7 linked regions of the Rattus norvegicus genome follow. The protein of the gene in region 3 interacts with the protein of the main gene of each other region in a pairwise test. Links are inferred from orthologs where the notes say so. Each region holds a gene or a part of one and is shown on either strand. Other genes may lie near its edges. The genes, in order: Mapk1ip1l, Hnrnpf, C5h1orf94, Gcc1, Banp, Rbfox1 and Gse1.

Region 1 (4,009 bases), on a different chromosome or scaffold from region 3:
CATCCTCAAAGTTTAAGAAAGCTAAAAATCCATTGGGTTATTGATGATAATTGGCAAGCAATTCAGAGAAACTAAGGAAAATCAGGACTTTTGTGATTTTTGTATGGGTGAGTGTGATAGTGTTAATTCTGAGATTCACCAGCGAAAAACCAATCACACTATTTTGGGCCAAATTTGAAGGAAGCTTTATTAGGTATTAAATACTGACCAAGCGATGGGCTTTGGTCAGGAACACTTCCTAGAACTTCCAGCTCAGTGGCCTGGAGACACATGTTGTAGGGGTTTTTATGGACAAAACTCACTGGCACCATTCTTTCCCACAAGGCTTTATTATTTCCCAAGAACTACTCTTAGCATTCCAGGAAGTTACTGGGTCCTTGGATGGGTGGGGCTTAAAGGTTAATTTTGAGTACTACATTAGCATATATTATATTGAAAGCAGATTCTGATTAGAATTGTTAGCATTTAGTACTGGGTAATTTACCAGATTATATTCCATTTTATAACTGGGTACCTAAAAAAGTTTGGAATGTTTTTGAACACCTAAAGTTCACAGTAGAAGCTCTTATAATTTATTCCGACTCACTGGAACACAAGTTCCAATCCTGCTGGGCTTTAGAGTAATTGGTGGCATGGCATGGGCATTCTTGAGAAGTGGTGTCTCTGTAGATTGGAATAAAAGTAAGAGTAGAAGGTTAAAGACAGGCTCCAGGGTAAGATCAGTTTGTATAAAACCAGAGAGAACAGTCTGTGGAAAAGCAGAAGCAGTTCGGGTTGGCTGGAATACCAGAAAGCAGTAAGAAGTTTTAGCAGAGGGCTTTGGACAAGAGTCCTAATACTTTAGCTCACTTGACCGAGTCAACTTCAGTTTCTTCATAAAGTTAGAGTAGGCGGTGATTCGTGGAACCACACAGGGCTGCATCTGACCCAACTAAAACTGGAAGACGGAATGAGCAACAAATACCCAATTCTCTCCTCTTGTGATTTTTAACATTTTAAAAAGGTATACATGGGTTTGCTCACCTCCATGCAGGTTCCCAAGAAGGCTAGAGGCGCTGAATTCCCTGGAGTTAGGAAGCTGTGAGCTGCCTCATGTGAATGCTGGGACAGAACTCCAGTCCTCTGCAAGGACAGCGATGGCTTTCAACCTGAGCCATCTCTCTCCAGCTCCTCTTTCTCACTCATACACATAGAACAAAAAGACTACCAGAGTAGACTGCCTGTCTGGCCTACCGTCAAATCCAGGTCTCTGAGTCTTATACGTAAGAGTAAATGGGTATTTTTCCACAGATTTGCTGAGCCTTATAGAAATCTATAAATAAATCTTTTAAGTCACTGCCTGACACTGAGCAAAAAACTCAACAAAGATTAGCTTTTAAAACCGATACAACATGGCCCCAAACCTTTGTCTATTTTCAAAGCAGAAAACTTTAAAAAATATACAATCTCCTAAGTATTTATTTGGTGGCAAAAGCTGACCAGACATTATTTATCCATTTCGTTTTCCACTCACCCCCAGCTGTAGTCTGAATATTTACGATATTTGCATTTTTTCATCCCCTAAAGTTTTGGGAATTTAGGACCTTGTAGCAAGCCAGGCTGGCGCTTTATCACCTAACTCCAGGCCCACCCTGTACAAATACTAATAACTGATTAACAGTCCCCGAGTCTATGGCTGTTACTGCCCCTCTATACTAACAATCACAGAATCTGAACACTGCTGAATTCCTAAGCTTACTGGCCCCAAAGGCTCAACCTCTCAGTTAGGAGAAAGAAGCTGGGCACCGATTCCTTCTGTAATCAAAAAAGGAACATTCTAACTTCTGCAACTGCATTAAAAAGTTTTTGAAGCAAATTGTTTTAGAGAATGGCTCCTATACTCCACGAATGAGAAAACTGCCCTCCTCCCCACCCAAGGAGACCCACTAACAAAGACTTCTGAAGGCGACTCGGTAATGAGGGTTTGGCTTCAGAACAGGCCTTTAACACATGGGGGATGGAGGGGCCCAACACGTGTGTATTTCTGTGAAGTAGGCTGTAACATATCTACGGTGGGGCCTGGTTTTGATACTTCAACTTCAGGATTAGTGAAGACATTACTTTCGGTTTTCAAGGCAGGGAGGGAAAAAAAAAAATGGTTCAAGCGTTCTAGCTGAGCCCAGATCCTTCAAAAGGAAAACGTCACTCAGCCCATGGCATCTTCTGTCCCGGGTAGTCATTTAACGAATGGGTAATTACGAACAGCAAGAATCCTGTCACACAGAATTATCAGGCGCCAGACCTCCCCGTAAGGGTCTCCCCTCCACTGCCGTTTTTTATTAGAAATTAGTGACTAGGATATTGGTGGAAGGGGTGCCAAACAAGCTGCCCTTTAGGGTTAAGGGAACAAAGGGAATCCGGGATCAACCGGAGCGAACCAGCCCCAGGCCGGTCACGCCGGCGGGATGTGGGGGAGGGTCGCCCGCTCCCGCCCTACCCCCCAAGTCTGGCATGATGTGGGCGCCCCGGAACCCGACAGGAGCGACATTAGACCTCTAGGTCGCCTGGTCCCCGGTGGATCCTCCCCATCGAAAGCTCTAGAGCCTCCAGGCCCCCGGGGACCCCGCGTCTTCGCATCATCTCCCCCCAAGCCTCGCGCCCCACCGCAAGCGCCCGAGCGGACTCACCCGGCAGGATCCGAGTCCTAGGCGCGGCACAGTGGCGACGGTGAATCCAGAGAGACGGGCAATGGAGAACCGCAGGAGGCCTGATGGACCGAGGCGGCACCGACACGGCTCCTCCCGGCACCGGAAAAGGAAGCAGGGAGGCTGGCCCCGCCGCCCGTTATTTCCGCCCGCCCCGCCCAGCTGCACTGCGCCTCCAGCGGGCTGCCCATGGGACTGCAGGCAGGGCCGCGTGGCTGCTGGGGCCTGGACTGTTTCCTCCGTGTGGAGCGCGGGAATGGGACAAGCCCTAGGCTGGTGATGCTCGCCGCATCCCAGGGGCTGCGAGCGCATTTTGGATTCCCTATGTTCAGCGGTTTTTGCAGACAGGCTCCAAGCTGACTGTCAGTAGTCCAGCTAAAATCGAGGGTAAAGAGATGAGGGAAAAGGGAAGTCTTTCTAAAGGTCTTGAGAATGAAAACCTTTGAAGAAGCTGTCTGCAGAAACCGAGTGGCCAATTAGAATTTCAGTACTGTGGAGAGATTGGAATGTTGCAGGTGCAGAGGTCGATTACCTTTTCTTGGGCTAGTGCTAGCCCTCCAGAACAGTCAACTGCGCGTCAAAACGAACATCTTGTGGCAAAAGGATTAAAAACTTTTAGAATCTATTAACAGGCAACTAGCTTCTGATAATCCAAAAGCCAAGAATGTCATCGGATAGTGTCTTAGATCTACAGAAAAGCTACCTCTATCTTGATGTATCTATCCTCCAATGTACCCGCCAGTGTGTTTTAAACTGCTTGGTTTATGGCATTCTCTGTTCTGTAAAGCTAAAAACGTCCTGATACTGGTTTCAGGTTGGGACATAGAATTTGAGGTAACTCAAATGTGTGTTCTGGGGTCATCCTCATTCAAAATGGCTCCAGAATAAGCTATCTCTTATTCCCCTTTAAGTTTTAAATTGAAAACAGTGGTTCTTAACCTGTAGGTCATGAACCCTTTGGGAGTCGACTCTTTCACAGGGGTTGAATATCAGATATTTATATTATTCAAAACAGTAGCAAAAAGTTATGGAGTGGCCATGAACTAATTTTTATGGTTGGGGGTCACCACAACATGAGGAACAGTATTAAAGGGTCACAGCATTACCAATGCTTTAAGATGAGGGTTGTTGGTTTTTGCGACTGGCTTCTGTTTCTGGGAGACTCAAAACTGACATACTGAAAAGCAAAGTCTGAGCATATACATAAACTTTCTAGTTTTTTCCTTCCTAGACTTTTGATTTGATATTTCGATGTATGTCAGTGTAGAACTAGAGTTTCATAAAGATTACTCATTGTCAGAGCCCGAATATGCAGAACTAGAGTT
Region 2 (3,991 bases), on a different chromosome or scaffold from region 3:
TTTCAGAGGCCAATTGCTTTGAATTAAGATTTGTGGTTGCCTGTTGGGTGTAGATTTTATAAGGTTCATTTTTTAAAATATTTATTTAACGTATATGAGTACATTGTAGCTGTCTTGAGATACACCAGAATCTGTTAGAAATGGTTGTGAGCCACCGCGTGGTTGCTGGGAATTGAACTCAGTGCTCTTAACTGCTGAGCCATCTCTCCAGCCCCTATAAGGTTCATTTTTATACATATGGGCCAACTTAGGTTTAAAAGTCAAGCACTCCTTCCACTACGGCGATACTAGGGATCCAAACCTAGTCAGCCTCTAGGGCTCTGAGGGAACTCGAGTAGTCCCGGCAGGTCTCGAAATCAGCTTGGCTCTGCCTCCAGAGTGATGGTATTAAAAAAATGTATGTACCATACCGGTCATTAGTTTATGTAAAAAAATTTGAGACAAGGCTAAATGATGGGATTAAAGGCGTGCCGCCACCAAGTCGAGTCGGGAGTTTTTAAAAGTTAGGTTATCGTGGAGTCGGCGGGCAAATGAAAAAAGTGTAGAGTGTCTGCAGGTTTCCATTCTGTACTCCGAGTTGATTTGGTTTTACTTGGCTGAGTCTGTCAACGCTTCGTTGCATTCGCCTTTCCAACTGTAGCGGGTAGTCTGTACTTTGCTCAGGTGGCTCCTTTACCCAGAACTCAGCGAGGAGTCTTCCCCTTTCCTTTCCCTCCTTCCCCCACTTCCGGCGCCGGCCAAACCCACCGTTCGCGGGCCACACCTGCAGGCACGCTTTTCTCATTGGTGACATATTGGCGGGCCCGGCAGGGCACTTCCTCCTCTACACCCCGTGACCCGAGTCCGACTGCCGCTGTAGATCACGCGGCTGCTGCTTCCCGGACTCCGGACTCGAACGCCCGTCTCGGCGTGGTGAGCCCCGCTTCCCGCCCGAGCCCCAGGTTACCGGCTGCGTACTTGACCTGCTCACCTTAGAAGTTTCCCTCTTCGAGCTTTTCCACGCTTCGGCCTGCGCGAGTTCTTACTCCAGCCCTCTTCCCCGCCCTCTGGATCTTCCCCTCCCCCACCCTCCGAGGCTCAGGAGCCTCCCTTCCCCCCGCCCCCGCCCGGAAGCTCCCGCCCGAGCCCGCGCAAGCCCCGGGGCGGACCTTCCTGCCCGGCCGGCGCTCGCTGCGCGGCGCGGTCGACTACCGGGCGAAGGCCGCGGAGCAGCGTCACCTTGCCCTCCGCCCTGCTTCCCGCCAAAACGCTCGTCTCAAGGGGCTCCGCTTCCGCAAAAGCGTTTCCCCTGGTCATTTGAACTTCCATTTCAGGTTGAGAACAAAAAGAAGATGCACCTGGACTTTCCCCGGAGCCCTCTGCGTTTTTAAGGCGTCGGGTGGAGTTGGGGTTCGTAAGCCGCGTTCGTTATTGAAAATAGAAGTCACTTCTACCTTCCTCCCGTGGTAAGTTTCAGAGCAGAAAAAGGCAGCAGCTTTGAAGCCGCGGCTCTCCTGGTCTTAAGAGTAGAACTTTCTGAGTAAGAAAACCTGCCTGGATGCGCTCCCGGCGTTCCGGAGGTTAAAACTCATTTACAAAATGGAGGGAGGATGAGGGCGGGCTCCCAATGAAAACTCCGGCGACTTCCTGGAACACAAAGATGCATAGAGGAGGGTGCAGCAAGGCTCCCACCAAGCGGGCCTGAACAAAAGAACTAGGTGGGTGGCGCTTGAGCCGCCCTGTTTGTTCAGCCGATAAACTTAACTAGTCCAGGATTCAGAGGGCGCACCTCTTTTATCTTACCTGGATCTACCTGAAGGCAGTGAAAATCCAGTTTAACCAGTATCACTGACTGGGTAGCTTGTTAGAAAAAAGTCTCAGCCTGTTTGTTTATTTTAATAGTGCATTTTCTTTAGTGTTTAACTTGTGGAAATGTAGGCCTAGCCTGGCTATAGTATAGGAGTCAGTCGCCCAAAATGATGCAAATGGTTTCAGTAGCGTGTCTTGCAATTAAAATCAAATGTCTGGGTGTTCTAACAGTACTTACAAAGACCCGCCATGCCATCTTCTCTTTTACTGGGCATGTCTCCACAGTTCACATGTTCACGGGTCTCGTGCCAGTGGCTTAATGTAGGTCTAGCTGCTAGCTGCATGCAGTATAGTGTCTCCAGGGAGGCCCACAGGTATTGTCTACCACACTAGAAGTAAAAGGTTGGAAAAAGGGGATCGAGTCATTAGAATTTCATGGACAGGAATATGGTTGAAACTCATTAAAGTGAAGCCCTGTTTCAGGGTCTTTGAAACTATTTTCAAAATGGGTTTTTAGCACCGACACCCCAATATCTTGCATAATTTTGGAAAATGAGACAATGCAACTGCAGTTACCCCTATTTTAAGACAACAGGCAGAATAGCCTACCACATTTCCAAAACGAAGAATGCAGCATAATTTGTCATAGGATTCAACCCCTTTCCTCACCATTTGGGAGAAGCTTTGTCACATAGGTTATGATAAAGCAAAAGGCATTGGAGACCCTTCCCCACCTCCAGCATGGAGAAGATAAATAACAGGAGTGTTTTTTCATTTCCAGAGGAAATTCATGCTGGCCTGGATGCCTATGCTACTGAAAGGGTTGGAAGTCTTGGCATAAAGTGCCCACTAGATCCCTGCTCTATTTAAATTTTAAGTTTCTCCTACATTTAAACTAAGCTTAAATTAGTTCTGCTAAGTTGTTTGCTGATGTCCTCTACCCATGAAAAGATGAAATATAAATAACCAGGAAACCTAAATATGTTGGTCCTAGGGCTACAATGTATTTCTGGATTTGAGAAAGAAACTTAGCTTGCTCTGAGCCTAGCTCCCAGGAGGTCCCCTTCTGTACGATGATGAATGGAATCTGAGGCCACGAGACCAATCTTGGGTTTTGTGTTTGTTTTTATTTTTTAAGGAAAACTTGTTATCTTCCATTCTGTGTTTCCTACAGAAGGCATCTGTGGTGGTTCTTTAAGGTAAGCTACTAAAAGATACATTTAACTGTAAGACGATTAATTTGTTAAGCAAAGTTTAGTTTTCTTTGAAGAACTGTCAGTTTTAAATGCTTGGTGAGTTTACAGTTAAGTCAAACTAAAGAACTATGAACTTCTTGGGGGGGTGAGTAAAAGCAAGCTGTAGGTGTTGGTTGACATGTTACAGAAAAGAATGCTTTCTTCCCCTGTTGCTGAAACTGCTTATAAAGTACTTGTTCCTTATGCTTCTTACATGTTTTTAGCTTTGACTAAGCTGCTATACTCTGAAGGAAGGTGTTGACCCTAGGTGGACAGTAAATCCCTAGCTAATCCTTGACCTGCTGTGGTCTGTTCCCTCTGCTAAGGATGAAGTATTGGACAACAAAATTGTCCTAAGTAGGGTCCCAGTGTAGTTTTGAAGACCTTTTAAAACTACAGAGAAGGTTGTTATGAAAGTAGAAAGTCAGACTTATTGTGGGACGTGAGAAGATGTTATTGGAATGGTAGTTGCGCTTAGATAACCCAGAGGATTATCAAGGTTTAGCTGGACAAGGTTGGGCAGAGGATATTTGGGTGGAGAATTATTTGATGTGTCAAATCCTCCAGGGAACAGTGGGGAAATTAAAGGAACTAAGGAGTAAAAAAGAATGATGGATATAGATTAAGAATGTCTGTAGGATCCAAGGATTCTTTTAGTTCAGTCTCTGTTCTAATAACCAATGGGAAATAGGGCTTAGAAGTGGGGCATTGACATAATTGGGTTACAGTTGTTAGATAAATCTTAAGATTGTGATAGAGTAGCAGGGAGTGTAAGTGTTTTCATTAGAGTTAAGAGACGCTAGGAATATAGGAGTCAGGAATTTTGAACGAGTCCCTGTGGCAACACAAGGCTGCAATTCCATCTACCAGGAGGTGGTGAGGCAAAAGGTCTTAAGTTTATTATTATGGTCAGCCTAAGCAACTAGACACACAGTTGAATCATTTAAAAGTGGCTCAGAGGATTTATG
Region 3 (3,500 bases):
GCTTAGCAAGACTCTCATTGGGGGCTATCAGAAAGATGTCACTGGCCTGGACAATCACAAACAAATGGCAGGAGCATCAAAGGAACAAGGTGACTCATCCTAAGTGACTGGAGTCACCCAACGGAAGGACTCAGTGGGTGCCAGACTCAGGTCTTATTGCAAATACACCTGACATGTCAGCAGAGATATTTCCCTTCAGTGTTGCAGCCTTTCTTCAAAACTGGAGTGTCTCCGTGTGTGGGACAATGGATGCGAAACACTCAAGGCAGAATTGTGCCCTCACTGAACGCATACGGAGTTACTTGTCATTGTTCCCTAACCAATGGTGTAACCACTGTTTACACAGCATTTACATTGGATTAGGCACCAGTGGTGATCCATAGATTATGTACAGAGTGTAGGAGGGAGGGAGGGAGCTGTGTGCTACTGTGTATAAGGCTCTTGAGCATCTTTGAATGGGTATTTGAGGGGTTCCTGGAACCAAGAAATAGAGACAGCTTGATAAATGTGTGTACACATAAATTGTATGTTATATACATGTACTCGCAAGTGTTACATAATTACTATTAAGGCATTTATCTGTTAGAAGCAGAAAGTGGACTTTGGCCTCTCTACCCCCTCACTCCTTCCTCAGACTGGCTGTCTCTGAACACCTCGACAGAGCTTGGCTGAGAAGTCTGCCTGCAGGTGGATGGCTATGAGCTGCTCTGGACACAGTGGAAGCACCTGGGAACTCTAGTAACAGTCAGATCGGGAGGGCCTGTGCTTCAGCGTTACCGATGGTAATGGACGTGATTCCACCATATCATGAATTCCTCTATAGCCCAGCCCAACCCAGCAAGCCCTCGGGGCCTCTGCATGGGCCTGGGCCCTACCTTCCCTGCCCCCCCCCAAAAAAGGGGAAGCACTGCTCCAGCCAGGGACATTTTTAGCAGAGCATGTCCCCAGAGTCTCTTCCAGCAGTTCCTCTGGTTGCTGAGTTTAGCCCCCAGCTAGAGCGCTGAAGTAATATAGCCACTAATAATAGTCATTTTCCCCAGAGACCAGCATATTTGCAGCCACTCACACAGCTACAACATCTGCAAGACCCCTCTGGCATCTGGGAACTCTCTGTCCCTTTCCCTCTCCCTCTGTCTTTCTGTCTACCTCTGCCTCTGCCTCTCTCTCAGCCTCTTGGCCTCTCGGCCTCCCTGTCCCCCCCTCCCCTTTCTCTCCTCTTTCTCTCCCCCCTCTCTTCTCTCCCCTCTTTCTCTCCCCCCTCTCTCCCCTCTCTCCTCTCTCTCTCCCCTCTCTCCCCTCTCTCCCCTCTCTCTCTCCCCTTTCTCTCTTTCTCCCCCTCTCTCCCCTCTCTCCCCTCTCTCTCCCCTTTCTCTCTCTCCTTTCTCTCTTTCTCCCCCCTCTCTCCCCTCTCTCCCCTCTATTTCCCCTCTCTCCCCTCTCTCCTCTCTCCCCCCTCTCCCCTCTCTCTCCCCTTTCTCTCTTTCTCCCCCTCTCTCTCCTCCCCCTCTCCCCTCTCTTCCCCCTCTCCCATCCCCACCTCTCTCTCTCCTCATTTGTCTGTCTTCCCTTTGCCTCATAACTATACAGACATACTCAGGACAAGCACACTTACCAACACACACACACACACACACACACACACACACACACACACACACACACACACAGGCACCCTCAGCTCTACACCCTGTGCTTTCTCTAATGAGTATGCTCACCCTGAACAAAGATTTCTCTGGCACACCTAGCCCGCGGGTTTGTACACAAGGCACTCTCTGAGTGTGGGGAGGGCAAGTGGAGAAGATACCTCTGTTCTGCAGTCCCTTCATCGAGGAACATGAAGGTTCCCCTCTGGAAGGAGAGGGCAAGTGTTTCTCTCCCTCTCGGGGAGGGCTCAAGCCTCCTCCATCCTTTGCCATCATCCCAAAGCCTTGTGACTCCTCCAGGTTTGCTGAGTACTATGTCCAGCTTGTCACCTCAGCTCTGATTTCCCGGGGTCCCTCCACTGCTCCAGAATATAGAATACTTGGGAAGGTGACCTTGTTCCTGTTTCTCAGGGCTGTGAGCCCTCCCTAGACAGGCACTGTCAGTTAAGCATCACACTACAGCCTGGGGGTGACCTTTCTCTTGGTTGGCGCAAGTATAATCTATTCTTCTAGAGACTGGCGACTGTGGGCAGATGGCTCTGCAATCCAGTCTGAACATGCACAATGTGGAGTCCCAGAGATGGGCAGGGAGCACCAGAGGGGGATGAGTTCCTTGGGATGACCAGAGTTCCTATTCAAGAGCTAAAAATATGCTTCTCTAAGGTTCTAGAGCTTCAGAGAACAAATCCCAGGACCAACAGTTTGAACTTATGCCCTACGGAGGGTGGAGCAGTCCTGATGACCAGGATGGGTGTCTCCATAAAAAGGTAAGTGACCCCCATATGCCAATCAATTTTCTCTCCAAGCCTAGACTCAAGGCTGGGCTCTTTCCTGATAAGGTAAATAAATCCTCCAGTATGCTCTGGGTACCTAATGAAATCAGAAATTATGTGTCTTGCAGGGTGTGGAAAGATGGCTGACTTAGTGAAATGCTTCTCACACCAGCCTGAGAACCTGAGTTTGGATTTCCCACATCTGTATACAAAGCTGGGTGCGGAAACACATGTGTGTAATCCTAGTGCTGGGGACAGAGTCAGCATCCCTGGAGTTGCCGAGCCAGCCACTCTGGCTGAATTGGTGGGCTTCATGTTTGGTGAGTATAAGACCCTACCTATCTTAAGAAATAAGACGGAGGGGGGCTGGAGAAATGGCTCAGTGGTTAAGAGCACTGACTGCTCTTCCAGAGGTCCTGAGTTCAATTCCCAGCAACCACATGGTGGCTCAACTATCTGTAATGGGATTTGACTTCCTCTTCTGATATGTCTGAAGACAGAAATGTGTGTGTGTGTGTGTGTGTGTGTGTGTGTGTGAAGAATATGGAGAGGTGCAGAGGAAGTCACCTGACATTACTTCTGGCCTCTAGACATATACGTGTGTGTATCTATCCACACATGAACATCCATATACCACTTAGGCGCACACACATACACACACAACCAGAGAGGCTGCATTGTTTTTGCTTTGCACAAAGACACACCATGGCCTTGATCAGCTTCCTGATCAAGGCTCTCTTCCTTGAAAACCCCCTCACTTTCCTGTTCTCAGCCCCACTCACCAATCCAGTGGTGGCCCTCAAGAGCTGGGTCAGCCTCAGTCTTGGAGCAGATCTTGGCAAACACTGGGAGCTGCCTCTTCGGAGGAGAGAACTCGGGGAGTTTGTCGGGGACTGCGGGAGGAGGTGGGGGTGGCAGCAGCAGGAATGGGCCCAGCCCCATGGACTCCCGGGGTCCGGAGCCATTGAACATGCTATTCTGCAGGAAGTCCTTAATGACCTTGGTCTCTTCCAGCACCATCTTGTTGTCTGGGGCCTTGGACATTTCAGTTGACTTCAGTGGGAACTGAGCCAGGAGCTTGCTG
Region 4 (4,300 bases), on a different chromosome or scaffold from region 3:
AGCCTCTGAGTTGGCCATTATATCAGGGTCACAGAGCTTCTCTACATCCAGGGTCACCTGGCTTTTCCTAGCTGCAACCTGCAGGAGCCTCTTGAGCTTCTCCATCTTGTCCTTCAAGACATTGATATCCAGACTGGATTCGTCTCCATGGATGTCAAGAGAGGGCCGGCTGGAGGCTGCAAGGGCCAGTGTCTTGTTCTCCAAGTCCAACTGTAAAATTCGATCCTTCAACTTCTGGATGGCCAGCTGGTCTTTCTGCTTGGCTTTCTCATAGGTGCCCAGCAGTTCAGACACCTCAGAGATCTGGTTCTCCAGGGCTGCTACCCTTTGCTCCTCTACCTGAGACTGCTGGCGAAGCTGGTCCTCTGCAAGGGCTGTCTGCAAAGCAAAGAACAGGTGACAAGGCGTCCAGGAAAGTCACAAAACCCTACAGTCAACCGGATATGGGGGAGCAAGACAGAAGTGAACAGGGCTTGGGATGACCCAGAACAAGCGGGATTTATAATTGAAACTCCTTTGTATATGTGCTGTTTCTACCACAGTTTCCCACTTTTCACTAAGCTTGAATACAAAATGTGTTCCTTCCTGTTAGTCCCGCACCTTCCGAATCATTTAAAGAAGCCGCATAACATTCTTTCCCTTTCCCAACATTCCTGGAAACTGAAAACCAACCTGGATCCCTCTCTCCATTGAAAGGGAACACTGCAAAAACAGTTTTAGTTCTAAAACAGGCAAACCTCAACCGAGCGCATACACGAGACGCTTCTCCCAGGAAAACCCCCTTTGCTTCCTTCCTACCTATAAGCACACACTTCTCAGGACACACACAATCTTTCCCTAAATAGCTGTCACTATACTGCCTCAAACAGCCCACACTGGTAAGATGCCAACACCCAGAGGCCTAGATAGAGCTGTTTGGCTTGAACCCAGAAATACTCAGAAACTCCTCATCCTGTTAAAAGGACACCACACAAAACAAGATTTCCTAGGACTCACTAGTGGACTTTCTCACTTGACATCAAATATCAGTGTGCATATCAGGAAGGTGGAACCGACCACAATCCCAGCACTCACCCACTAACAAGCATCAGGCATTCCTTGACTAGAACAAAACCCTGTTCTAAGTAGAGAAGAGGGTGCCTTTAATACTAGCACTTGGTACGGAAAAGCAGGCAGATCTCTATGAGGGCAGACTTGGTTACATGAGAAGACCCTGCCTCATGAAACACACACACACACACACACACACACACACACACGCACAGGAGCGTGCACATATACGACAGTTATCTAATGACCAAAAGAGAAAAATGATACTAATATTTCCTATGGAAGTTAAAATAACTGTTTGAAGGACATAAAAATAATTACCTTCCTCATTTCTTGCTGCAACTGGGCCTGGAAATGGCTTTTAAGACGGGCAGCCTCCTGCTGAAGCTCCTGCAGCCGGGGATCTGGTCGGTTCTTCTCCTCTCGAATGGCTTGCAGCTCACCTTTCAGCTCCTCTACCTCACGGGTCAGCTGCTTGGTCTGCAGTTCAAACCCTTCTAGCTGATCAGCTGCATACGCCCGCCCTGCCAAGGCTTCCCTGGTCTCTTCTAGCCGAAGTTCCAGGTCCTGGCGTTGGGTCCTCTCCTCCTGCAAAAGCTTCTGTAGCTCCCGCAGCATCAAGGCATGGTCACTCTGCTCCTGGGCGCGATCGTGCTGCTGTGTAATAAGTCGGGCTTTGGTTTCTGCTATCTGCTCTTGCAGCCCCTTCAAGTCTCCCTCCAGGCGGCCCCGCTCTTCCTCTGCCTTTTTATTGGCATCTTCTAAGTCCTGCTTCATCTTCTTCTTATCCGCCAGGTAAGACGCTTCCATTCGGGACTTTTCCTGAGTGACTGTAGCCAAGGAGCTAGTCAAAGTGGCCAATTGAGTCTTCAGCTGATGCACTCTTTTGTCTATCTCACTACCCGCAGATGGCCCATCCCCACTGCTACTGCTAACGCCACTCTCTGACCCACTGGCCTCTTCAGACTTTGGAGGAAGTGGTCCACGGGCCACTCTGTCATCTTCAACCCCAAATTCACCCTTGACACTTGTAAGACTGGCTGCGGTATCCAAGCTCGTGGCAGTTCCGGTGCTATCCTCACTGTGAGTGGAGCACCGGTCATCCACAGAATCAGGAAACGTGAGACCCGGAGGCTGCACACCTGAGAGGCCTGCATCTGCCTCGTGGGATACCGACAGTACCTTGATGCTGGCCTCCAGGGCTTCTTTCTCCTTCAGCAGGCTTTTATAGGCGCGAACCACATCCTTGAGCCTTGCCTGGTACTGGAGAAGCTGCTTTTTCTGTGTCTCTATGGTCTCTAAGAGATCCTTCTTGCTTGGGCCGCCCCCGAAATTCATCCCAAACTTCTCCATGAGGGTTCCGGAGTGGGATGCTCCACGTCAGCGTTCTTGCAGCCCTGGACAGAGCCACAACAGCTAGAAGTAAAGCAGAGAGAATCGTCTGGCTGCAGGCAATACACCCGGTCGTCCAGCGGTCCGGGCGGGATGAGGGGCCGCGGTGGCCAGGCAAAAGCACTGTGAGAGCCAGGCCGAAGGTGGGAAACAGTTCCAACCTGGATGCGGAGTGACGCTGGCCTAGCAGGAACACTCAGCCAGGGCTCTCCGGTACAGGCCCTGATCCTGTGCCGCCCTAGCTGCTCGCCTGGCCACCGCAACCTAGACCCGCCTCCCTCCGCCCACGATCAGCCCAGGATTTACACTAAGACCGGTTCCATCACGATTTCCCAACAACTGGGACAACAACGCTTCCGGGTCCACTGGAAGTGACGACAGCAAAACGCCACAGACCCCGCCCCCGGCGGGCATGAGATGGGTGGGGCTTCCGCACCCAGTATTCGCTGGTGGCCTGGAGAGAGAGTAACCTGTAGGTATAGTTACCCAAAGCGAAGTCAAGATCACCTGAGCAGTTGTTTGGAGAAGATGCCTAACTTTGCCCTCAAACTACCACCAGTGAGCGACAGGGGGCGACGTCACACTGCATTTGCCCCCCCCCCAAAAAAAAAAAAACGATGAAAGACGCATCAAACTATTTGGGGCAATTTCCAACATTTAGGGCAACAGTTAGGACTCATACTAGGAAAACGAGCCCAGTACCTAGTTAACATAATAGCTCCCTTGTTTAGTTCTGCTTAGTAAGAGGGACATTATATAGCTATAAGGTCCATCTTGCATACCAGCATATGCTGGGGTGGGGGCTGTCTCACAAGAGTTTTTGCTATTTAGTCTTTGCAAAATTCTGTTCAGAGGGTATCATTAGCACCAATTTACATTTACTGGAACATACAGTAAATGTACAGAGGGGTAACATGCCCAATGTCACTCAGCTAGTAAGTTTAGGAATCCTATCTCAGTCTGCCTCTCACCATACTAAATGCTATGCCTGATGGCACCATTGAAGAAACATGGCCTTGGTCCCGAGAAACTCCTAACAGCAAGGACATGCAAACAAGTAGATGCTGCCCTCACACTAGTATAGTATGTAAGGGTATAGTTGAAGGGTATAAAAGAGGCGAGGCACCTGTCAGAAGGACAGAGACTCTTAGGGGAAATGACTTGAAGTTTGAGGAATGAGTAAAGACTGCCAAACTGCAAATGTGGGAAACCAGCATCAAGAAAAGCGGAAACGTTTACAGGAACCTCTGAGGTATCTATCAGTGAGCCTGACTTGCCCAGGAAGCTTATGGTGTGGGAGGTGGGTGGCTATTGATGAATCTGGAACAAAGGGTAGGACCCAACTTAAAGGCATTTAGATTTCATCTTGGGTGACAAGACATTAAAAGATTTTCATCTCCGGAGGGCACCATCAAGACTCTTTGCTTTTGTCCATTCCATCAAGACTCCTGTGGGGTTTTTAAGATGGTTCAGCAGTAAAGACGATTTTCACCAGGCCCAGTGACCTGACCTAAGTTCTATCACCAGGACCCACACGGTGGAAGGAGAGAACACACCCCTACAAGTTGTTCTCTGAGCTCTACACACCTCCACACACGAACACAACATAAAAGTGGGGAGGGGCTAAAAACAAAGAAGACTCCTGTGATATTATGAAGATACCAAGCCTGTGAGGAGGCTCACTCTGAAAGAGAGAGAGAGAGAGAGAGAGAGAGAGAGAGAGAGAGAACGCGTTTGAAGAAAATATTTCTGTAATAAAAATCTGCTCAGGAGGCCAAGCCGGCCGCATCTCTGTGAGTTCGTGACCAGGTTGGTCTACATAGCAAGTTCCAGACCACCCAAGGCTACATAGTGTTTC
Region 5 (3,500 bases), on a different chromosome or scaffold from region 3:
CTCTCCTAGAATTTCTCCTCAAACCCAGGCCCCAAGACCTTTTGTTTCGGTTCTGTGCTCCTCAGAGGGCTGCGGGTGGTGTGTGAGCATGTTTCCCGCTGCTGCCCGTGGGTTGGTTGGCTGCCCAACTCTAGAGGTCAGATGTGGAGTGACGTGAGGAAGGCAGCTGCGAGACCAACCTGCCGGATCAGAGTTTTGGAGGGATGCGTTGGAAAGAGGCTGGGGAGCTGGTTCAGTGGGTAAGCTCATGCTTCTGCAAGCTTGAAGATGTGAGTTTAAGTCCTTAACATGCATGGAAAAATCCAGGCCATATCTTGTAGGCTCAGCACTGGGGACTTGGGACAGGGAGATCCCAGGCTGACTTAGCAGCCTAGCTGAGTGGACTAGGTTTCTATTCAGTGGTAGACCCTGTTTGAAAAGAGTAAGGCAGAGAGCAGTGGAAGAAAACTCCCAGTACCTGCTCTGCACTCCGCACACAGCTCACATGTATGCGGTGCACATAGGTGCCCTGCGCACACACATCACACATACACACACACACACGGGGAAATGAAGAGGAACCTGTTTTCATGAAACCTGTTGCTGAGATGGCTCGCGGATGCACAGCCCACCCTGCCCACATTTGTGTCAACCAAGAATACCAACCAGCAGGAAGCTGGAGAGCCTTGTCTCCAGTTTAGTTGTTCTGCACTGGACCCCATTCTCTGGTGTTGGCCCAGGAGCTGACCGTGTTGAATGATTCATGTGCTCTGACAATGACTGTTGTTGTTTTAAGGTCTTCTTTTTCTTGTGATTCTTTTGTTTCATAGCGTCGTCCCCCAGACTACAGTAATACTCAACAATGATCGGCAGAACGCCATTGTAGCCAAGATGGAAGACCCATTGAGCAACAGGGCACCGGATTCCCTGGAAAATATCATTAGCAAGTCAGTAGCCATCACCACCCACCTTCCCTGCCACTGTCCTGAGGCTAAGTGAGCGTTCCTGAGCCAGGGTCAGTCTGAGCACATGTCCATGTCTGCAGTCATAGGGCCCATTCTGTTAGCAACCACCATAGCTTTTAGGTCAGGAAGGGCCAACTTGGTGCTTAGCAATGGTGGGGTGAGACAGTGCAAGGGTGGGCAGCCGTGAGGACCGCTGGGCTGGATCTGGTATGTGAAGAGGCTAGATATGGCCTGTGGTCCGCTGAGCACTCCCATCTGTCTGTCCTGCAGTTGAGCCTCTTCTGAGTCTGGTAAATGACACACTTGTGTTGACGTTGTGACTTTTTCCTCATCCCTGTCTTTTGAGATGTGTTGAATGGACCTTCCGTCAGTCAGAAATGAAAGGGCACAGCAGCCATGCCCTGCGGGGCCTCTGCCCCTGGCTCTGGCTCTGTGCCTCAGGAAAGCTTGGTCACCTTTTGATTACCAGCAGTGTTCTCACAGATTCCTGCCTTCCTTTTTTTCTCTGTGGGGTGTGACTCCTTCCAGCTTTGTCTGGCTTCTTGTCCTGGCCCAGGTCTCTAGGAAACTGGAGGCCTGGGGTTGCTGTGACTGTGCTGAGTGGGGTGCTGGAGGCCTGCCACTCTGTTGGGGAGAGGACGCGCCTCCTGGCCCACTCTGAGGTCGTGGGTGTGGAGTGTCGAGGAGCCAGTTCACTGTGGGTAGCTCAGAGGGGTCAAGTTCAGGAAGGACCTCCTGCCTCTGGGGATGACCAGAGTTTTAAGGCCCCTTTGACTTTGCTGATGGGAACTTGGGCTTTGTTTCCTCTGTGGTGTGTAGGAGGCCATGGTCCAAAACGTTGACAGAATCATTCAGAAAACAAATCAATCTTGGGTCTTTTTTGAGCACTTTCTGCTGCTAGCTGTTTGGCTGCTGCTTTACTTCAGGGCCCTGCACCAAGAATGGCTCCCAGAGGACTCCTGACATTCTTGATGGCCTTGGAAGTTGCTTCTAGGGTTTTGTCTGTGGGAGTCAGAGGGAGTGTGGAGGTGTTTTGGAGGCCGAGTCATCTTGGGTGTCTGACAGCATGGATGATGGATGGATGGGGACTCTGATACACGGTGACCATTGTGCATGTGAGGATGGCCTCTAAGGTCTGAAAGCCAGATTCTAGGCTGAGTCTCAGTGAGTTATGGTTTTATTTCTTTTGTGCTGTTCATTTTTACGCAGTTGCTTTATATTCTTCGTCTTCTTGGTCTCAGGCTGTTGGTGTGCTATGTTGCTGCTCATCTCCATGGAGGGTGTGTGTGGGGACATACCGCATGTTGGGGACCCACCTTGTGCATTGGTCCATGCTCAGCTAGACAATGGGATAAGTCTACATAACAGTGGGAGTCAGGGCTATCTCAGTGTACCACTCATGTCCTCTCACAGCCTGGGCTGCTGTGTTTGTTTCCCGCCAGCGCTGTTCCTGGGCGTCGGCAGAATACCATCGTGGTGAAGGTGCCTGGTCAGGACGACAGTCACAATGAAGATGGAGAGAGTGGATCAGAGGCCAGTGACTCCGTGTCTAACTGCGGCCAGCCAGGAAGTCAGAACATTGGAAGCAACGTCACACTTATCACCCTGAACTCTGAAGGTGCGTTCGCCATAGTTGCACCTTTGTGCTCTTCTTTTGGAAGGGGCTGTGCTTGCTGTTGATAAGAAATGACACAGTGACAAAAAAGTTTAAGCAGCTGAAGTCCTACCGTGACTGCCAGCACCTGTGCCTCTCTCCTGTGACCATGCCTTTTTCGTGTTACTGACATGTCTGCTGTGGAGATGCCTTCTTGGATGCTCTGCTTCCTGAGGAGGAAGAGCTTCCATAAGCACGAACCAGTCACCTCTGCTCACAGTCCCTGGCATTCCTCTGTTGGTTGCCAGGCTTAGGGAGTACAGTCTCCTTGGGCTGGGCTGAGATCTGCAAGTAGCCAGGGAGAGCAAGTGTGGGGTCTGCCTTCCCTAGACTCCTCCCATGATTTCTTGGGGGCCCCCATGGGGTAGGGGCAGGCTCTTCCCTGAAAAGTCTGAAGTACCTCCTTGCTTCTAACTGACAGTAATGTTGAGAGAAAGGAAGGAAGGAACTCTGACAGACTAAGCTCTGTGTGCAAATCCTACCCATCGACTTTGTTTACCTGTGAGCCTTGGGAGGCTTTTGTTTCCTTATCTAAATGATTGGTTTTTCCTATAAGCACAAAATTTTGCTCTTAGGTATGTGCTGTATCTGAAATACTAGAAATAATGTCTGACTAAATTGCAGTGTTGGGGTCGAAGCTCGCTACCACACACTTGATGGTACACGTCACAGCGCACATTCTAGCGCTTGCTAAGGCTTAGGTTGTTGTTCCCAAAGCTCGTGTGCTCAGAGCGTGACCACAGCCCTGCCTCTGGGGTGGCCTAGGAGAGGAGTGGGCCACAGAGGTGGGTCCTAAAGAGGAGTGGGTGGGATCTAGCCCCCGTGTGGCCCTTCCTTTTGTGTCTTAGCTCCCATGGAGTAGGGAGCAGCCTCCGCTGCCACAGTCTTCCTCCATGATGGTG
Region 6 (4,300 bases), on a different chromosome or scaffold from region 3:
GATTAACTCCCTCTATTGCACACTGCAAGGAGGTGACGAGATATTCTGACATTGTTACATGCCCAAATAGATCTGGAGTCTACGAGGCAAATGAAGTTGCTCGAGACGGTAGAGCTAGGAAAGGGACACCCCAGCTTTCACTTTGCATACTCCTCAACACCTTTCATCTCTGAAAGCGAGGGTGGTGGGAGGGAATTCATCTTTGTTTAATATATAGCAGATTCATGTATCACAGCTGGGACACACATGTAAAAGCCATGTGAAATCCCTTCACACATGAACACAGCACCAGCAAGTCTGCACCTACTCTGTGGCCCCCAAGATAGCTAACACATTTCTAGATCACAAGTCACAGTGCAATCCAGCAAGACAACTAGGGATTGTGTATGAGGTATTTTAAATTCAGCACTGCCTCCTACTGGCTGCAAAGTGGCTGACTAGCGTGCGTTCGGGTTCCTCATGGTTACTTGGCTTCCTGGGTCCGGGATTAGCCCCTGCTTCAGAGATGTGGAAGGACTGAGTGCAATAACCCACAAAACTAATTTACTCAGACTTCTGCTATTATTTCCTTTTAGCTATGAATTGCCTCTTCAAACTGAAATCGAGTGAAAAAAGGGGAGGAAAGTGAGTCAAATATTTTGAGACAGTTTCGTGTAGCCCAAGCTCGCCTAAAACTTGCTATACAGCTGAGCTCCCGATTTTCCTATACCCACCTCTGAGTTCCAGGACCACTGAGATTTGCTACCACATACTGATTATTCTTAGGTAATTTTTGATCAGCTGCCCACATGAACCTGCTACCTTTGAGTGGGTTTTTTGCTGTCATTTTTCTTGTTGTTGTTCTTGTTTCTTTGTTTGGTTTGGTTTTTGTACATAACTGTGGGGGGATGAGTATAAGAATGAAAATGTATGTGCAATGTCGAAGGGTGATCTCCAGGTATCTTCCTTTATTGCTTTTTACTTACGTAAAGAGAGGGTCTTTCACTGAACCACTGAATGTGGAACTTTCTGTTCGGCTATGCTGGCTCACAGGTGAGACCCAGGATCCTCCTGTCTCCGTCTTCCCAGTGCTGGGAATACACGTGTATGCCACATTGCTTGACTTCATACACGGGCATTGGAGATCCAAACTTGGGTCCTCATACATATATGATAGTCCATAAGTTTACATAACAATCAGTTGCAATTTAGAACTTAAACTTAGGCTCCGGTGATGGTTTATATAGGTAAAGATTTAAGTTTTCTAAGTTGAAATTGATTGTCCTGTAAGCTTACACATTTCTATTCATTATTCTCTCTAAAAATCTCATGTAGACCCAGCCCCTTGCAATTTGGCCCAGTTCCTCAGGACAAATGTCTTTTCTTTTTCCCTGATTCCCTGTCACTCCATCTCCCTCGGTCTGAGAACTAAATTAATGAAGAGTATTTGGTTAGTCATGTTGGGCGAGCTGCTCCCAAAATAGCTCCTTCCATTTTGGTAGCTCCGACCCTGCAGCTGCCGCGTCCCTTCCTTGTCTGTGAAGAAAACTTTCACATTAAGAGTTGCTGATGCAGGATTTTCTTTCCTTTCCCCTCTCCGCCGCCTGTGGATGAGCACTTGGCTCCTGACAGAAGCGATTTGGCTCTCGGCTTTGTAGTTGAGAAGAAGTTGGGTCTATAGATTTCTTTCCCCCTCTAACTCTCTATTGATGTGTTCAGCCTTGGAGGGAATAAAGCCTCCATTTAAAGCATGTTGGCGTCGCAAGGAGTCCTTCTGCATTCTTATGGCGTGCCTATGGTTGTGCCTGCTGCCCCCTTCTTCCCGGGACTGATGCAGGTAATTCATGGCTTTTGCCAGCAAGCAACTTAACTCCAGAGTGCTCTGAGTAATAATTGGAATTTTTATGGTTGAGAAAGCAAACACTTTTAATACAGGAAGAGAAAAAAGGCAGCCCTCGTGTAGTCAAAGGAAAGACAGTAGGAAATCAAAAAGATGGATCACCTTAATCTGGCTATTGACATCTCTCATGGATGAATAAATGGTGTAGTTGAGCTGTATTTGCTTGTATTGATCTGGGTGCTGTTTAACATTCATGCCTCTGCTTCGGGAGGTTGACCAGGGGGCAAAAGATTTGCTCTCTTCCCCAGCTTTCTGAGGGACTGGGTCTCCCAGAGCAGATCATGAGGCTCAGTAACTTATCATGTTGTGGCTTGCTTAAAGGCTTTAACCCCGGAAACCGAAGGGCAGGAACTACAGTGCTACGGAGGACACCCCACACAGGTTGTCTGTTTGCAGAGAGGCTCCCCCTTCTGAATCTGAGAGGTGACCCACAAACAAGAGAGAACATTGAGAATGGTTTCTTTAGGAAGTTCAGGGGTGACTCTGGAAACCCCATGCCAACTGTTCTCGGCAGCCAGGGAGAAGTTGGAATGCCTGTTGTTTTGACTGCTAAGGCTATTATTCTGTGTGCCGAGAGGTTCATGTGCTAGCGAGAAATTGGGACCTGTTTCTTTGCCTTATTGTACCGCCGTGCTGTCACTCAAACCCGTTGCTTCTGGGTGTATGCCTGCAGTTCTCTGGAAAGCCGACATCCACTTGTGATAGAAGTGGGTCATTGTAGGAAGCAAGTGGCTATTTGTTGCTGTTCTTTGGAAATAACCAGCCCTGGGTAATAAATTCTAAATCTCCTTTCTGTGGGAAAGGAAAATTAAATATATGCAGGACACTTTAGCTTCTGTCCTGTCGTACTACCCCTACCCAACACTCTCTGTTTGAGAGTTCTACAAGACCAATTCATTAATGACGACTTCTGCGGAGGATCCCAAACAAATATTCTTCTTGTTCTGTGACTGTGACTGTGACTGTGACTGTGACTGTGACTGTGACTGTGACTGTGACTGTGACTTTTTATTAACTGTCAGAAGCTGGGTGGTGGAATCTATCCAGCAGTTAGTCCAGACAACACCAGAACTGCCATTGACCCTGGATGTATGCTATTGCTACACTTCTATATTATAGGTAAATAGGCCAGGCAGAGAATAGTCCTGACAACAAGGAAAAGAATTTGTGGCCAGATGGTGACATGAGACTTGGGACGTGAGGGTGAAGCAGAGTTACAGTGCTTTTTGCTTCTGTTGGAAATTTGGGGTGAAGGTCAAAGGCTGGAGTTTTGTCGGCCCCTGTGCTGCCCTATCCGATAAATAATTACAAGCAAATCGCTCATTTCACTCCATGCTGATTGATGCTGAAATTGCTTTTGAAAGTTCTCATAAGTTCCTGTTATAGATTAAGTGCTGGTGCAGGAGAATAACGGTACCCACCGAAATGGGTGAATGTAATCAGGTTTAATGGACTCGAGAGCTTGTTGGGAATTAAATAACTATCGATTTGCTGGGATGTTTCTGTCATTACAAAATGCCACTCTGAACGTATTACCCCAATGATAGATGAGAAGACGCCAGAGCCAACAGAGAAGCTGGGAAGGCACTATTTCTTCCTCTTTGGCAGAATGTTCGAGAAACATAACTGGTTAGTTTGGAATGGAACAAGTTATTTTACTTGCAAATGTTAACCTGATCCATTCTCATTTGTTTCCCAAATGAAAACTTCTGAACTAGTGACCTACAAGCTCTTCTGAGTGTGTCAGTGAGGAGCCTCTGATGAGCTACTGGGACCCACTCCACTGCAAGGCTGTGCACATGGAGGTGCTAGCCGTCTTGCTGTTTGTGGAGGCCACACCACTTGACTCGAAGAAACTACAACACCTCCCATTGCAGTTCTGTTCATAAGAAAAGGATGTGGTGTGATAGAAAGGGGTAGGAAAGCCTAGCTCTCCTTTCACCTTCCACTTCCTGCCCTAGCTACCTTGGCACTTAGCCTTAGGGAGTTTCACCCAAGTCAAGAATAAAGACCCTTCTGCCAGGATTCAAATTTCTTTAGAAACTTAGTAATGTCAGCAAGACAACTAAACTACCGGGAGTGTGGACTCGTCCTTGCTACGACCCCTTGTGCTTGTATATTTGGGAACAGCATCAGTGGTTATGTGCAGGGGCCTCTGGCAAGCTGCTTGAGGTACTGTTCACAATTTTACAGTCTTCCCAAACACAACAGTCAACAGTTCTGTGGCCAAAGATATTCTGTTTTGAATTGATATCTGAGACACTTTTGAAATGTGGGCCGGCATGGCTCATTTTTTGTGCAGTTAAAGAAAAAATAATTTGCATCTTTAAGTTTTAAGAGAGCACCAGACTCATGCTGCAGTCAGTGCTTACAGATGCACATTTAGTTAGGTCCCTCTCATGGACTCTTCTTTAAAGTCAG
Region 7 (3,500 bases), on a different chromosome or scaffold from region 3:
CACACAGTATCTTGGCAAAGAACCAGATCTCCAAGTGAACCCGCATGGATGCTGGGAAGGCCACAGCTGTGGCCCTACATGCACAGAGGACACTTGCTTTGACCTCACTGAACTGTCATTTGCTAACTGTCCAAGCGTGTGGTTCTTGAGCAGGTACATCAGAGGTCATGCTACAAGTCTGAAAGCGACAGAGGCTCGTCTCTCCCCTCCCCAAGTGCTTCATGGGCATTAAGGGTTAAGAGGCACTGTCACTGTGTAAATGGCCTGTGCTGCCCAGCACTAACAGGTGACACGGGACACGTGGCCTGTTACCTTTATGCTTCTGCAGAGCCTTCTGTGTGGACTGCAGTACGGACTCGTGGAATTGATGTGCAAACTCTTCGGCCATGAAGGGCTCCCAAGGCTTGCTCTTCCCGTTGATGCTGTGGGACAACGGCACAGGAATGTCCTTGGGCGCAGCGCCCCGGAGGTAATGAAGCATGCTCAGGTTCTTCTTGCCCCCAGGGGCCTCGCTCAGCCTGGCCTTCTCACCGCTGGGAGGAGCTGGCTCCTGGACTCTCAAGAGCTCCTGGGGCCGGAGCTGTTCCAGTCTTCCGGTCTCCACGGCCTTTGGGACATCTGACAAGGAGGCAGGGACCCCGGCAGGCTGATCCGTCTCTAAAGGAGCTGGCTGTGTGGCTGGTTCTTTGAGAGATAGAAAATGAGGGGAACATTATGAACTGTGGAAAAACAGGCGTGCAGACACTACCGATCTGATCTCTAGAGCGTACACTTACAGACCCAGTATCTGTACCCTACGTTAACAGTGTGCACGAGGTTAGAGTTTAGGTGAGGAGAGGCCAGGTTAGCAGCAAGTCTGACCGTAAACAGTTCCCAAAGGGAAAGGTGGGGAGAGAGAGCAGGAAACGCTGAGAAGGTAGGAGAAACTTCATCCAAATCAGAGAAAGCAGGTGAAGACATGAGCTAGCAAGAGGCTGGACCCCAAGGATTCAGCTTTCTTCAGCTGGAGAGCAGCAGAGAAGCAGGGAGAAAGTAGGTGCTGGAGACAGTCTGGAGAGCCCAGGTACGGCATTCAGCGGGCTTTGGACCCGTCCTCTTGGGAAGTGACGGCTACAGCCTGCAGCTGATGGAAGTCAGTGCCTTCCCCTGCGCTTCTCGCCCACTGTGTCCTAAGGTTCGGCTCAACCAGGATGGAGAGAAGCCCCGCGTCCAGTACTCATGTTCACCACGAAGACAAGACTTCGAGCGACACCTCCCCAAGTTACAGGACGCTGGTGGGTGGGGTGTCCTTCCCTTACCACTCAGGGAGATGGTAGGACTGTCCCTCGAAGAGTTTGTTGCCACTGAGTCTGCTACTGCTGCGGACAGTGCCCTCTGCTTCATGGCACGGAGCATTTCAACAAGCCTCTCTTTGTCTGTGAGGAAAGCAGTCCCAGGTTAGCAGCACTTTGAGAGGGGAGGAAGGTGGGGTCTGGCCACCGTGACTGGCGGGTACAAGCCCTTCACACCAAAAGGCACCAAAAGCAAGCACCACGGCCAGCTGTGCAGACAGACAGGAAGAAGCAGGTGACAGCAGCTGGCTGTCCCTGCTGGGCTCCGGGACAGCCACATTTGCAGTCAGGAGCAGTGGCTGCCTGGAGGTTTCCATGGTGACTTCCTTCTCAGCAGGTATCCTGATCTGAAGACCAAGGATGGCCCTGATACAAGAGCAGAGACCAGGGAGGGAGTGTGCTCTCTGCCTAGGGTCACAGCCATTTCCCTCGAAGGCGTGCAGACCCGACAAGTGTCCCATACCGCAGATCCCCGTCTCTGTGGCTCTTCCTGCCAACTCTGAAACTTAAGAGGCTTCGGTGCCGATGGCGTCCTTTAGACACAAAGCCAGGTGAAAAACCAGGCTTGCAAACAACTAGGCACGAGTCCAGGGGCATGTGCTGGCAGTCAGCCCGTCTCTAACCCTTGCTCGGAAAGTGAGACCTCCACCATGCTTGTTAAAAAGGAAAAGGAAACTGCCACCACCAATAAAGAAGCTTGTCAAACCAACTGAAGAGCTGGAGGCACTGTGTTCCCGGGAGTCTTCCAGAAGGGGCCAGTGCCCTTAAGGGGCATGAGGCACACAGGAGCATGGCCGTACATCAACACCTCAGCCCGGGACGGTGATGAGCCGATCAAGGTAGCCTCGGCATGCCTTGGCCATGCCACGTCTTCCATACTGTGAATTCCAGTCCCAAGTCTCTTCTCCCACATGGCCCTAGGGTACCACACTGATCTGGAAACATCTTTTTGGGTAGGTAAGCAAGTTGTGCTTATGATGTGGGGTTGGCTCACCCACGAGCTCACTCTCCAGGCCTGTCAGCATCAGAAACAGTGCTCAGTAGAGATCACTGTCCAACCCAAGAGGCAGGGCCTGGGGATGTGAATCCTGAGCACACCCGCTCCGTCCCAGGGAGAAGTCCTGGACACACTCTGAAACATACAGGCACATCAATCAGCCTTCACAGTCAAACAAGACATGTGCCAGAAACACCAAGGGACAGAAGCCTATCAGAGCTGAGAGGACAGCTCTGTAGCTCAGGCTACCCAGGAGCACCCTGTTCTACGTGTGCAGGCCAGAGCAAGGCCATACCTTTCCTCTTCTCTGCACTGATGTGCGTCAGGTTGAAGAAGGTCAGGAACTTCCTCTTCTCCTCAAAGTTAGGGCTGTTGTTCATCTCATCCGGGCTGTAGCGGGTGGACAGAGCCAGTCTGGGAGAAGGCGTCTGTCGCTTGCACTGAATGGCAGGTGGCGACGGGCTTCTCTCTCTCAGCATTCGCCTCCGCTTCCGGCGCTTCTGAGCCACCAGCTCCTCCTTCTGCTGTTGGGTGGTCAAGCCAAAAAGTTGCAAGAACTCTAGCTTCTAGATTGGGAAAGAAAACAATCGAGTGTGAAGCCACTGCCCTCCACACTGCTTTCACAGCCCCAGGGGTCCCGTGGCCCATGCAGTCTGATTTGGAGCTAGGCCATAGAGGTAATGGCCTGCAGGGTTTGGAAGCCAAGAGGTAGGCCCAAAGCGGGGACCCACTACCCAGCCAGCCCCAGAACATGCCAGAGTCGACTTGTTACCTCAGAGGACGTGTCCAGTTTGAGGGGTGGCTGCTCAGCCACACAGCGGAGGTGTGCCCTGACCTCTTCCTCATCGCTCTCATCGTAAGAGTCATCGAGGTCATAGTAGTACCCTGATGGCAGAAATGGGTGCACTGAGCCAGGCTCAGAACCCAGGATGCTCCATGGACACGTGCACCTGGGGGCATGGGAGTGAGGCCACTGGGCTGGGCCTGCTGGCACCTGTGAGGACCCTTGCTAAGAGGGCCTGGTTTCTTCCCATCTGCGTGGACACCTGCAGTGAGCCGAGGGCGGCAAGACTCAGGCAAGACTCAAACTCGGGATGCTCCCTAGGCGCAGGGCAGAGCATTCCTGACAAAGGCCTGATGTCCATTGCTTGGTAAGCCTCATGGGAAGGCAG

What was found.
Region 1: the proteins of C5h1orf94 (region 3) and Mapk1ip1l interact in binary tests that used the Homo sapiens proteins (3 or more experiments, as listed by UniProt). The two-hybrid records come from large-scale screens. The link is inferred for Rattus norvegicus from reciprocal best matches to the Homo sapiens genes C1orf94 and MAPK1IP1L.
Region 2: the proteins of C5h1orf94 (region 3) and Hnrnpf interact in binary tests that used the Homo sapiens proteins (3 or more experiments, as listed by UniProt). The two-hybrid records come from large-scale screens. The link is inferred for Rattus norvegicus from reciprocal best matches to the Homo sapiens genes C1orf94 and HNRNPF.
Region 4: the proteins of C5h1orf94 (region 3) and Gcc1 interact in binary tests that used the Homo sapiens proteins (3 or more experiments, as listed by UniProt). The two-hybrid records come from large-scale screens. The link is inferred for Rattus norvegicus from reciprocal best matches to the Homo sapiens genes C1orf94 and GCC1.
Region 5: the proteins of C5h1orf94 (region 3) and Banp interact in binary tests that used the Homo sapiens proteins (3 or more experiments, as listed by UniProt). The two-hybrid records come from large-scale screens. The link is inferred for Rattus norvegicus from reciprocal best matches to the Homo sapiens genes C1orf94 and BANP.
Region 6: the proteins of C5h1orf94 (region 3) and Rbfox1 interact in binary tests that used the Homo sapiens proteins (3 or more experiments, as listed by UniProt). The link is inferred for Rattus norvegicus from reciprocal best matches to the Homo sapiens genes C1orf94 and RBFOX1.
Region 7: the proteins of C5h1orf94 (region 3) and Gse1 interact in binary tests that used the Homo sapiens proteins (3 or more experiments, as listed by UniProt). The link is inferred for Rattus norvegicus from reciprocal best matches to the Homo sapiens genes C1orf94 and GSE1.

What each region holds. Positions count from the first base shown.
Region 1 is NC_086033.1:23,023,559-23,027,567, reverse strand, and holds the start of Mapk1ip1l (MAPK-interacting and spindle-stabilizing protein-like), read right to left. Parts: upstream 2,801-4,009; 5' UTR 2,667-2,800; intron 1,123-2,666; exon of another isoform or gene 1,024-1,122; intron 1-1,023.
Region 2 is NC_086022.1:152,767,538-152,771,528, forward strand, and holds the start of Hnrnpf (heterogeneous nuclear ribonucleoprotein F), read left to right. Parts: upstream 1-1,191; 5' UTR 1,192-1,445; intron 1,446-2,926; 5' UTR 2,927-2,987; exon of another isoform or gene 2,988-3,991.
Region 3 is NC_086023.1:145,586,295-145,589,794, forward strand, and holds part of C5h1orf94 (uncharacterized protein C1orf94 homolog), read right to left. Parts: coding exon 3,199-3,500; intron 1-3,198.
Region 4 is NC_086022.1:57,999,386-58,003,685, forward strand, and holds the start of Gcc1 (GRIP and coiled-coil domain-containing protein 1), read right to left. Parts: upstream 2,801-4,300; 5' UTR 2,404-2,800; coding exon 1,372-2,403; intron 379-1,371; coding exon 1-378. UniProt on the Homo sapiens protein: Probably involved in maintaining Golgi structure.
Region 5 is NC_086037.1:66,950,961-66,954,460, forward strand, and holds part of Banp (protein BANP), read left to right. Parts: intron 1-809; coding exon 810-926; intron 927-2,386; coding exon 2,387-2,562; intron 2,563-3,500. UniProt on the Homo sapiens protein: Controls V(D)J recombination during T-cell development by repressing T-cell receptor (TCR) beta enhancer function. Binds to scaffold/matrix attachment region beta (S/MARbeta), an ATC-rich DNA sequence located upstream of the TCR beta enhancer.
Region 6 is NC_086028.1:8,996,592-9,000,891, reverse strand, and holds the start of Rbfox1 (RNA binding protein fox-1 homolog 1), read left to right. Parts: upstream 1-1,500; 5' UTR 1,501-1,729; coding exon 1,730-1,816; intron 1,817-4,300. UniProt on the Homo sapiens protein: RNA-binding protein that regulates alternative splicing events by binding to 5'-UGCAUGU-3' elements. Regulates alternative splicing of tissue-specific exons and of differentially spliced exons during erythropoiesis.
Region 7 is NC_086037.1:65,529,160-65,532,659, reverse strand, and holds part of Gse1 (Gse1 coiled-coil protein), read right to left. Parts: intron 3,214-3,500; coding exon 3,101-3,213; intron 2,895-3,100; coding exon 2,624-2,894; intron 1,416-2,623; coding exon 1,299-1,415; intron 685-1,298; coding exon 313-684; intron 1-312.